2 linked regions of the Drosophila melanogaster genome follow. The protein of the gene in region 1 interacts with the protein of each later gene in a pairwise test. Each region holds a gene or a part of one and is shown in the gene's direction. Other genes may lie near its edges.

What was found.
Region 2: the proteins of CG5504 (region 1) and CG4036 interact in a two-hybrid assay, tested with the Drosophila melanogaster proteins (one large-scale study listed by BioGRID).

What each region holds. Positions count from the first base shown.
Region 1 is NT_033778.4:23,705,310-23,709,226, forward strand, and holds CG5504 (uncharacterized protein), read left to right. Parts: upstream 1-1,771; 5' UTR 1,772-1,844; coding exon 1,845-3,178; coding exon of another isoform or gene 3,179-3,182; exon of another isoform or gene 3,183-3,276; intron 3,277-3,320; coding exon 3,321-3,549; 3' UTR 3,550-3,717; downstream 3,718-3,917. Other genes in the region: Alg3 (ALG3, alpha-1,3- mannosyltransferase), read right to left, coding at 222-1,468. UniProt on the Drosophila melanogaster protein: Involved in hh/hedgehog signaling. May act as a tumor suppressor in larval imaginal disks.
Region 2 is NT_033779.5:9,788,615-9,792,508, forward strand, and holds CG4036 (uncharacterized protein), read left to right. Parts: upstream 1-2,267; 5' UTR 2,268-2,287; exon of another isoform or gene 2,288-2,354; 5' UTR 2,355-2,355; coding exon 2,356-3,080; intron 3,081-3,140; coding exon 3,141-3,330; 3' UTR 3,331-3,344; downstream 3,345-3,894. Other genes in the region: CG13123 (uncharacterized protein), read right to left, coding at 3,368-3,894.

The sequences.
Region 1 (3,917 bases):
ATCGCGGGACGAGTTGGTAACCAACTCCCCGCCCTCTGTACAGAGCCAAAAGATACGAAAGACTAACGTACCCGAATAAAAGTAACTCCATTTTAAAGCTGCCTTGATTGATTCTCTAAAAACTAACTCGTTTAATGTACTGTTTATTCAATTTTTTTTTTGGCATAATCAAAACGGTTTATATGTGGCACTCATGGCTAACAAGTGGCACTCAGACCATTTTACTGCAGCTTTTTCTGTTGCTCCTGCTGCTCCCTCTTGGCCGCATTATTAATCCGCATGGTCTGGACAAGCTGCTTGGCCACCCCAGCGAGCAGTATGATGTGGGTGAAGTGAAGGGCAGCGCTGGAGAAGTTCGTACTGGGATAGGTGTTCCAGCAGTACTCAATCAGTCCGAGGATCAGGCAGCGCACGCCCAGCGAGTACGGCGTCGACCAGGCCAAATAGGGTAGCGAGTGGAAGTACCAGACGTAGAACTGATAGTGCAAGGATCGGGAGCAGGCCACGCCCACCAGGTTGCACAGGAAGAACGGCAGCAGGGCCAGCTGGGTGCAGCGATCGAAGTGGATGCCATAGCGTTCCGGTTCCGCCTGTGCGGGTGCCGGAGTGGCCTTTCCTCCAGACGCCTTCTGCAGGCTCTTCTCGAAGGCCTTCAGGAAGGATTGCTGCTCGGTTGTAAACTTCTTCTGGTCCTTGTCCTTGTCCTTTTCCACTTTCTTTGGTCTTTTCTGCGCGTTCAGCTCGAGGTTCTGCTGGGCTATTTGCGGCTGCAGCTGATCCTCAATACGGCGCAGGCGCACGTAGCTCTGGAAAAAGGTCCAAGTGGGCTTGGCGAAGGCCAGCAGGAGCAGCAGATGCAGGCCCAAAAGCGAAACGTGGAAGGTGCGGTTCTCGAACAGATCTCTGCTCAGGAAGCGATAGTTGACCGTCCACTTGTGCTCGAAGATGCGTCCCAAATCAAAGCTGCCCCGCAGATACTCCACAGGATGGGTGAGCAGGAAAGGAGCGCCCAGCAGCAGTTGTATCACTCCGCAGACAGCCAGCTGCAGGATCGTCCGCAGAAGTCCCAGGTTGGCCAAGTAGAACAGCAAGAGCGCAGGCGCAAACAGCAGGATGTTCATCTTAACGCCCACCGCCAAGCTGAAGAAGGTGCTACCCAGGGTCCACCTTCTGTCCAGGAACAAATTGAGTGCGGCATAGAGGAGCAGCACTGCCACCGGATCGTTGAACAGTCGCAGCACGTATATCGAGTGGATCCGATACGACGTGAAGGCACTGAGCACTAGCACATACGGCGGCACCTTTCTGCTCTTCGAGTACAGCCTCAGCACCAGGGCCAGCTGGAGCAGGTAGATCCCGGCGAAGATGTACTGCGCCAGGCGAACGTTCGTTCCGTGGGACGTGACGTAGTAGAGAGCCGAGTAGATGTACACGAAGGCGGCTGGATACACAAGAGGTCCTGTGTCGCCTAGGAAATCGAAAATCGAAGAATTTCAATTATCATAAATTAGATAGAAGGAATGCAATTAGTCATTGTTTTCATTCACTAAGCAGTTATTTCAGTCTGTTTGGGCCTGGGAAAACTATTATATCCATTGAGTTACACTTCATATTTATTTTAAAGGCAAAACTTTAGTTAACTTATTTAATATACGGCTTTTTTAACTTTAACGGTATATAACGATATTTCATTCGCTTTCACGCCGGTTGGTATTTTCGCTCGCTACGCACGCGGTCACATTGAGCAAGTGCGAGTGAGAGAGAGAGAGACAGACATTCGTAGGACAGCATGGATGTTACGGCATGTTGTTGAAAAGCTGAAAATCTGATACTTTTATGGAAAAATGATGATTTCGTGTAAAAAATTATTCGTGTTCCGGCAGCTGCCGGCGGTGCGCCGTTGCCTAGCGGCAGCCGCGTTCTCCACGCCACGCGCGACCTCCTACCGAATCCTCTCCAGCGCCGGGAGCGGAAGTACCCGGGCAGACGCACCCCAAGTGCGCCGCCTGCACACCACGCGCGACCTCCTGGCCAAGGACTACTACGCCACGCTGGGCGTTGCCAAGAACGCCAACGGCAAGGACATCAAGAAAGCCTACTACCAGCTGGCCAAGAAGTACCATCCGGACACGAACAAGGAGGATCCGGATGCGGGCCGCAAGTTCCAGGAGGTCTCCGAGGCCTACGAAGTGCTCAGCGACGAGCAGAAGCGCCGTGAGTACGACACCTATGGCCAGACGGCGGAAAACATTGGTCGCCAGGGCGGCGGATTCCCTGGCGGAGGAGCCGGTGGCTTTGGCCCCGAGGGTTTCTCGCAGAGCTGGCAGTTCCGCTCGAGCATCGACCCCGAGGAGCTCTTCCGCAAGATCTTCGGCGAGGGCAACTTTCGAACGAACTCGTTCGACGACTTCGCCGACTCCAAGTTCGGATTCGGCCAGGCCCAGGAGATGGTCATGGACCTGACCTTTGCCCAGGCGGCGCGCGGCGTTAACAAGGATGTCAACGTCAACGTGGTGGACCAGTGCCCCAAGTGCGCCGGCACCAAGTGCGAGCCGGGCACCAAGCCAGGTCGCTGTCAGTACTGCAACGGCACCGGCTTCGAAACGGTGTCCACTGGGCCCTTCGTAATGCGCTCCACTTGCCGCTACTGCCAGGGCACGCGGCAGCACATTAAGTATCCGTGCAGCGAGTGCGAGGGCAAGGGCCGCACGGTCCAGCGCCGCAAGGTCACCGTGCCGGTGCCGGCTGGCATTGAGAACGGGCAAACGGTGCGAATGCAGGTGGGCAGCAAGGAGCTGTTCGTCACGTTCCGCGTGGAGCGGAGCGACTACTTCCGGCGCGAGGGCGCCGATGTGCACACGGACGCGGCCATATCCCTGGCCCAGGCGGTGCTGGGCGGCACTGTGCGTGTCCAGGGCGTATACGAGGATCAGTGGATCAACGTGGAGCCGGGCACCTCGTCGCACCACAAGATCATGCTGCGCGGCAAGGGTCTGAAACGCGTGAATGCCCACGGACACGGCGATCATTACGTGCACGTCAAGATCACGGTGCCATCGGCAAAGAAGCTGGACAAGAAGCGACTGGCTCTGATCGAGGCGTACGCCGAGCTGGAGGAGGACACCCCCGGGCAGATCCACGGAATCGCGAATCGCAAAGACGGCAGTAAGCAAGCAACGTAAATAATCTCCCGATCTACCAATGCAATCTCTAAATGTAACTTGGAGCTTGAATTCGTAGTTGAAATATACGTGCGTTCTATGTGCGAGCTTTATTAAATGATGGCGTCTTTCTCTCCCCTTCCCCATCTCTCGTTGCAGCGCAGGAGCGAGTGAGGAGCCAGGAGCGGGAGCAGCTGCTAAAGCCAGTGCAGCAGCCGCCGGATCAGGAGCCTCCAAGCCAGGACCAGGAGCAGAAAAAAGCGAAGGCAAAGACCAGTGGACGGACAACGAGAAAACCAAAGCGAAAGAAGGCGGCGGATCCGGATCCGGACAAGGCGACGGCGGAGGCGGAGGCTTCATAAGCAAGATCAAGTCCATGTTCAACTGACAGGCGTTGGCAACCCGATGGCCGATTCTGTTTTTTTAGTGTCTAAGTTAACGCACGTTATTGTTGCTAATCTAAGTTCGGGCGGGAACCGGGGGAGTGTATTCCAAATACGACTCGGTTCGAGATGAATAAACCAAATTGACCGTCAGTCGGGCAAGTTCTGCGTTTAAGCGAGGCTAACTTCACTTGTCTTAATCTCACGCTGCTCCGATTTTCAGTTGCCTAAAGTTCGTGCCGCATTTGATGTCGTCCAACTCCCCAAATCTCTGTGTTTAACCTTTGATGGTAACTGTGTTCAAACATTTGAACCATATGTCAAACTACTCTCCTCGATTTTGAAAATACTTCAAACTTTAAAGTAACTGAAA
Region 2 (3,894 bases), on another chromosome or scaffold:
TCAAACAGGGCGATTATTGTCTGAAGCATTTAAAGATTGGACTAGAATAGTAAACTAAGAAAGTTCAAATAGAATTGAAAATCTATTCTTATGTAACAATTAAGAATGACTGCCTAAATTGAAAATATATTAACGAATAAACATTTATGCTTTGTGAAACTCTCTTACCTTAGCCAAAAACTCCTCATACTCGAATAATTGCAACGTTGCAGCTATGTAAATCGCACCAAATGTGAAGATGGCCAAGGTACGTGGTCGACCGACCGCCGGCACCAAGAAAGCCAACGCTTCAACCGACTCAGAGAAGCAAAGGGAGGTGGAAAAATGATTTATCATGTAGCCACCAAGGAGGGCGAAATGTTCAAGATCAGATGGAAAACTATGGGCCAAAGGATGATTCCTGAGAGCCAAGCAAGAATCTGGCTTGCGATGCACTAATCGAAATGTAACTCAGAAGAACGTTGATGTTAAGGAGCTGCGCGAATTGACTAAGATCGTCAAGGCCAGGATTGCCGACATATTGACCACCAATAATGGGGAAAAAATCGTTGTAGAGGATTCGGATGATGATGATAGTGATTCCAATGTGGACGCAAGGCTAGGGCTCGTCAAACGGCAGAAGATAGCGATGACCTGCCCTCCATCTCCAAAGCTTGGCTCACCCTGGTCCATACAAAACTATTAGGCAGAGGCTGAAAAGCAGGGATAGTAAATTTAACCCGGAAGAGTGGGCAATAAATAAGTCAACATACTTTGGCAAAGGTATGCGCAGCACCATTTCCTCAAAAGTTGCAAATTGGTCATCTGTCAGTAGAGGCGCCAATAGTTCATCTTCGTAGCTGGCCACCAAGTCCAAGTTGTACTTGCCCGGTTGTTGAACTTCGTAGGGCATCAAAGAGAGCACTGATTCGCCGAGGCAGCTCTTTGCTACCTGAAAGTCCTGTTCGCAGCTCAAGCAGGTGCGCACGCCCATACAACCGCAACTATGAATTGTATTCATCCTAAAATTGCGTAAAAACACATTAACAACAGTTTATTCGTGGTAAAATACCAATCATACCATCAATGTTATGTAAATGCTGGCCAGAATTTCGAAGAATGAACTGAGGGTTATATATCTGTGTGCTTTGATTTTTCTAATTTAATCTAATATAATCTATATAATAATAATCTCACCTGGGGTTGTACTGATTTGTCATTCTCCATTTCTGCATCGTCATCGGACTCCGAATCCATTTCAGCAGCATTCTTGCCATTTCTAACGGATAAAGTCGGAGCCATGCTCAGCTTGCTTCTTTATCGGCACTAGGGTCCACATCGGAGTCATTAGCATTATCATCCGAATCCACTACAAGGATTTTTTGCCATTATTGGGGGTCGAAGTGATGGCATTCCTGGCTTCAAGAATCTTATTCAATTCGCGTAGGCCCTTGACCTTCTGCTGAGTTATTTTTTGATTAATGCATAGCAAGCCAAATTCTTGCTTGAATCCCGGGAATCATCATTTGATCCATAGTTTCCCGTCTTATATTGAACATTCCGCCCTACTTGGAGGCAACATAATCAATAACGTATTCCACTTCCTCTTGCTATTTTTGGGTTGGTTAAAGAGTTGGCTTTCTTGGTACGGTCGGTCGACCACATATCTTGGCCACCCTTTACATTTGGAGCGGTCTTCGGTTTAGCTGCAACCTTCTGCAAAGCAGCGAAGATGAGAAAGTTTAAGTTAATTGTCCTATAAACTAATGAATTTGAAAGTATGAGGAATTATTGGCTAAGGTAACCGCCATATAACGAAATTAATTTCGACTTATAAACATTTTCTCATCAGAGTTTCACATTGTAATGTCTTATAAGCATGGACTATGCATGGAGCATGCTGCTATCGAACTAAAAAACGCGTGGTGGTGGAGCCCAGTGGCAGCCAGACCATCTACAGTACATGGGCGTAAGCTCCCGGTAGTAAAGTAACGCGGTAGAGTGGGCGATAATTCAACTTACTTTGGCTTAGGTATGCTCAGCACTGCACCTGCAAGCTGAAGGTTGATGAAAGGGATTCGGAGTCCGATGACGATGCAAAAATAGAGGATGACAACCCGTGGTGAGACAAAGCGAAAAATCCGAGCATACTAGACCGAATTAGGTATTATTCTCCGAAATTTTGGTCGGTATTTACCAAAGCATTAATTCTATGATTGGTATTTTATTACGATTATTTTCGAAATTCTGGTCGGTATTTACCAAACATTAATTCTATGATTGGTATTTTATTACGATACCGAAGCCGGTATATTTGGAACATCCGGTAACACTGGCAGTCTGTTTGTAATTAACGTGCTTTTGCCCAATTTCAGGATGAATACAATTCGTCCTTGCGGTTGTAAGGGCGTTCGCACCTGCTTGAGCTGCGAACAGGACTTTCATATAGCGAAGACCTCGCTACGGGAACAATTCCAGCAACTGGAAGCATGGTCCTACTGTATCCAGTGCGACCTTCTGCAGCGCGGTTGGGATACCAATCATGTCCAAAAGGATCATGAAAATCACAAAAAAGATGAGGGCCTCCCACTGCCGGGCATCCTGGTGCAGGAGGAATTCCTTAGCGTTGATGAGGGCGCCCAACTTATAGCCGACTTGGATGACCTGCCATGGGACATCTCGCAGAGCGGCAGGCGAAAACAGAACTTCGGACCCAAGACCAACTTTAAAAAGCGCAAACTGCGGCTGGGATCCTTTGCCGGATTCCCCAGGACAACGGAATATGTGCAACGGCGCTTCGAAGACGTTCCCCTGCTTCGTGGCTTTCAGACCATCGAACAGTGCTCCCTGGAGTACGAGCCCAGCAAAGGAGCCAGCATAGATCCGCACGTGGACGATTGCTGGATCTGGGGCGAGCGTGTGGTCACTGTCAACTGCCTCGGCGACTCAGTGCTCACTTTGACGCCCTACGAAGTTCAACAATCGGGCAAGTACAACTTGGACTTGGTTGCCAGCTACGAAGATGAACTATTGGCGCCTCTACTGACAGATGACCAACTTGCAACTTTTGAGGGAAAGGTGCTGCGCATACCTATGCCAAAGTAAGTTTACTTATTTATTGCCTTCTCTTCCGGGTTAAATTTACTATCCCTGCTTTTCAGCCTCTCCTTGATAGTTTTGTATGGGCCAGCGAGGTACCAGTTTGAGCATTCTGTACTACGCGAGGATGTCCAAGAGCGCCGCGTTTGTGTAGCCTACCGGGAGTTTACGCCCATGTACATCAATGGCGTAGACATCCAAAAGGGAGATCCTGTCCGAGAAAAGTCTCAGATATTCTGGCAAATAAACTAGCAAACAAGACCAATGTAACTATGTAATATAATCTTTATTATGAGCGCGGATTATCCCGATCCTGACTGGCTGGCCTGTAATCCAGCAGTGCCACCTGTGCGGGCAGCTGAACTCCATGAATTTTCTTTAAGTGAGCCCTCAGATTGCTACTGGTACTAAAGTTGTTGGAGCAGACAACGCACTGGTGATGCGGATGCTTCTGCCGAATATGCTCATTGAGATCGCGAACCTTGGCGAAGGCGGTGGTGCAGTACTTGCAGACGTGCGAATTGCGCACGTGGGTTTTCAGATATTGAGGCGAGGCATAAGCCAGTGGGCAGTACTGGCACTTGTAGATGGCCTGGCTGCCACTGGGCTCCACGTCCAGCAGGCGATTGGCCTCGTTGTACTCGTCCAGGTTGTAGTGTTTCAGTTCGACGGCAGCATAGTCCACGGTGCGCATCTCGTATGCTGGGGATTCCAGTTGCTCCAGCTGAGAGTCGGATAGATCCAGTCGTGGTTGGGCTGTGGTGGCAGGTAAAAACTCGGAGACAATCAGCGAATCTTGGTTGGCCAGCCTTTGAG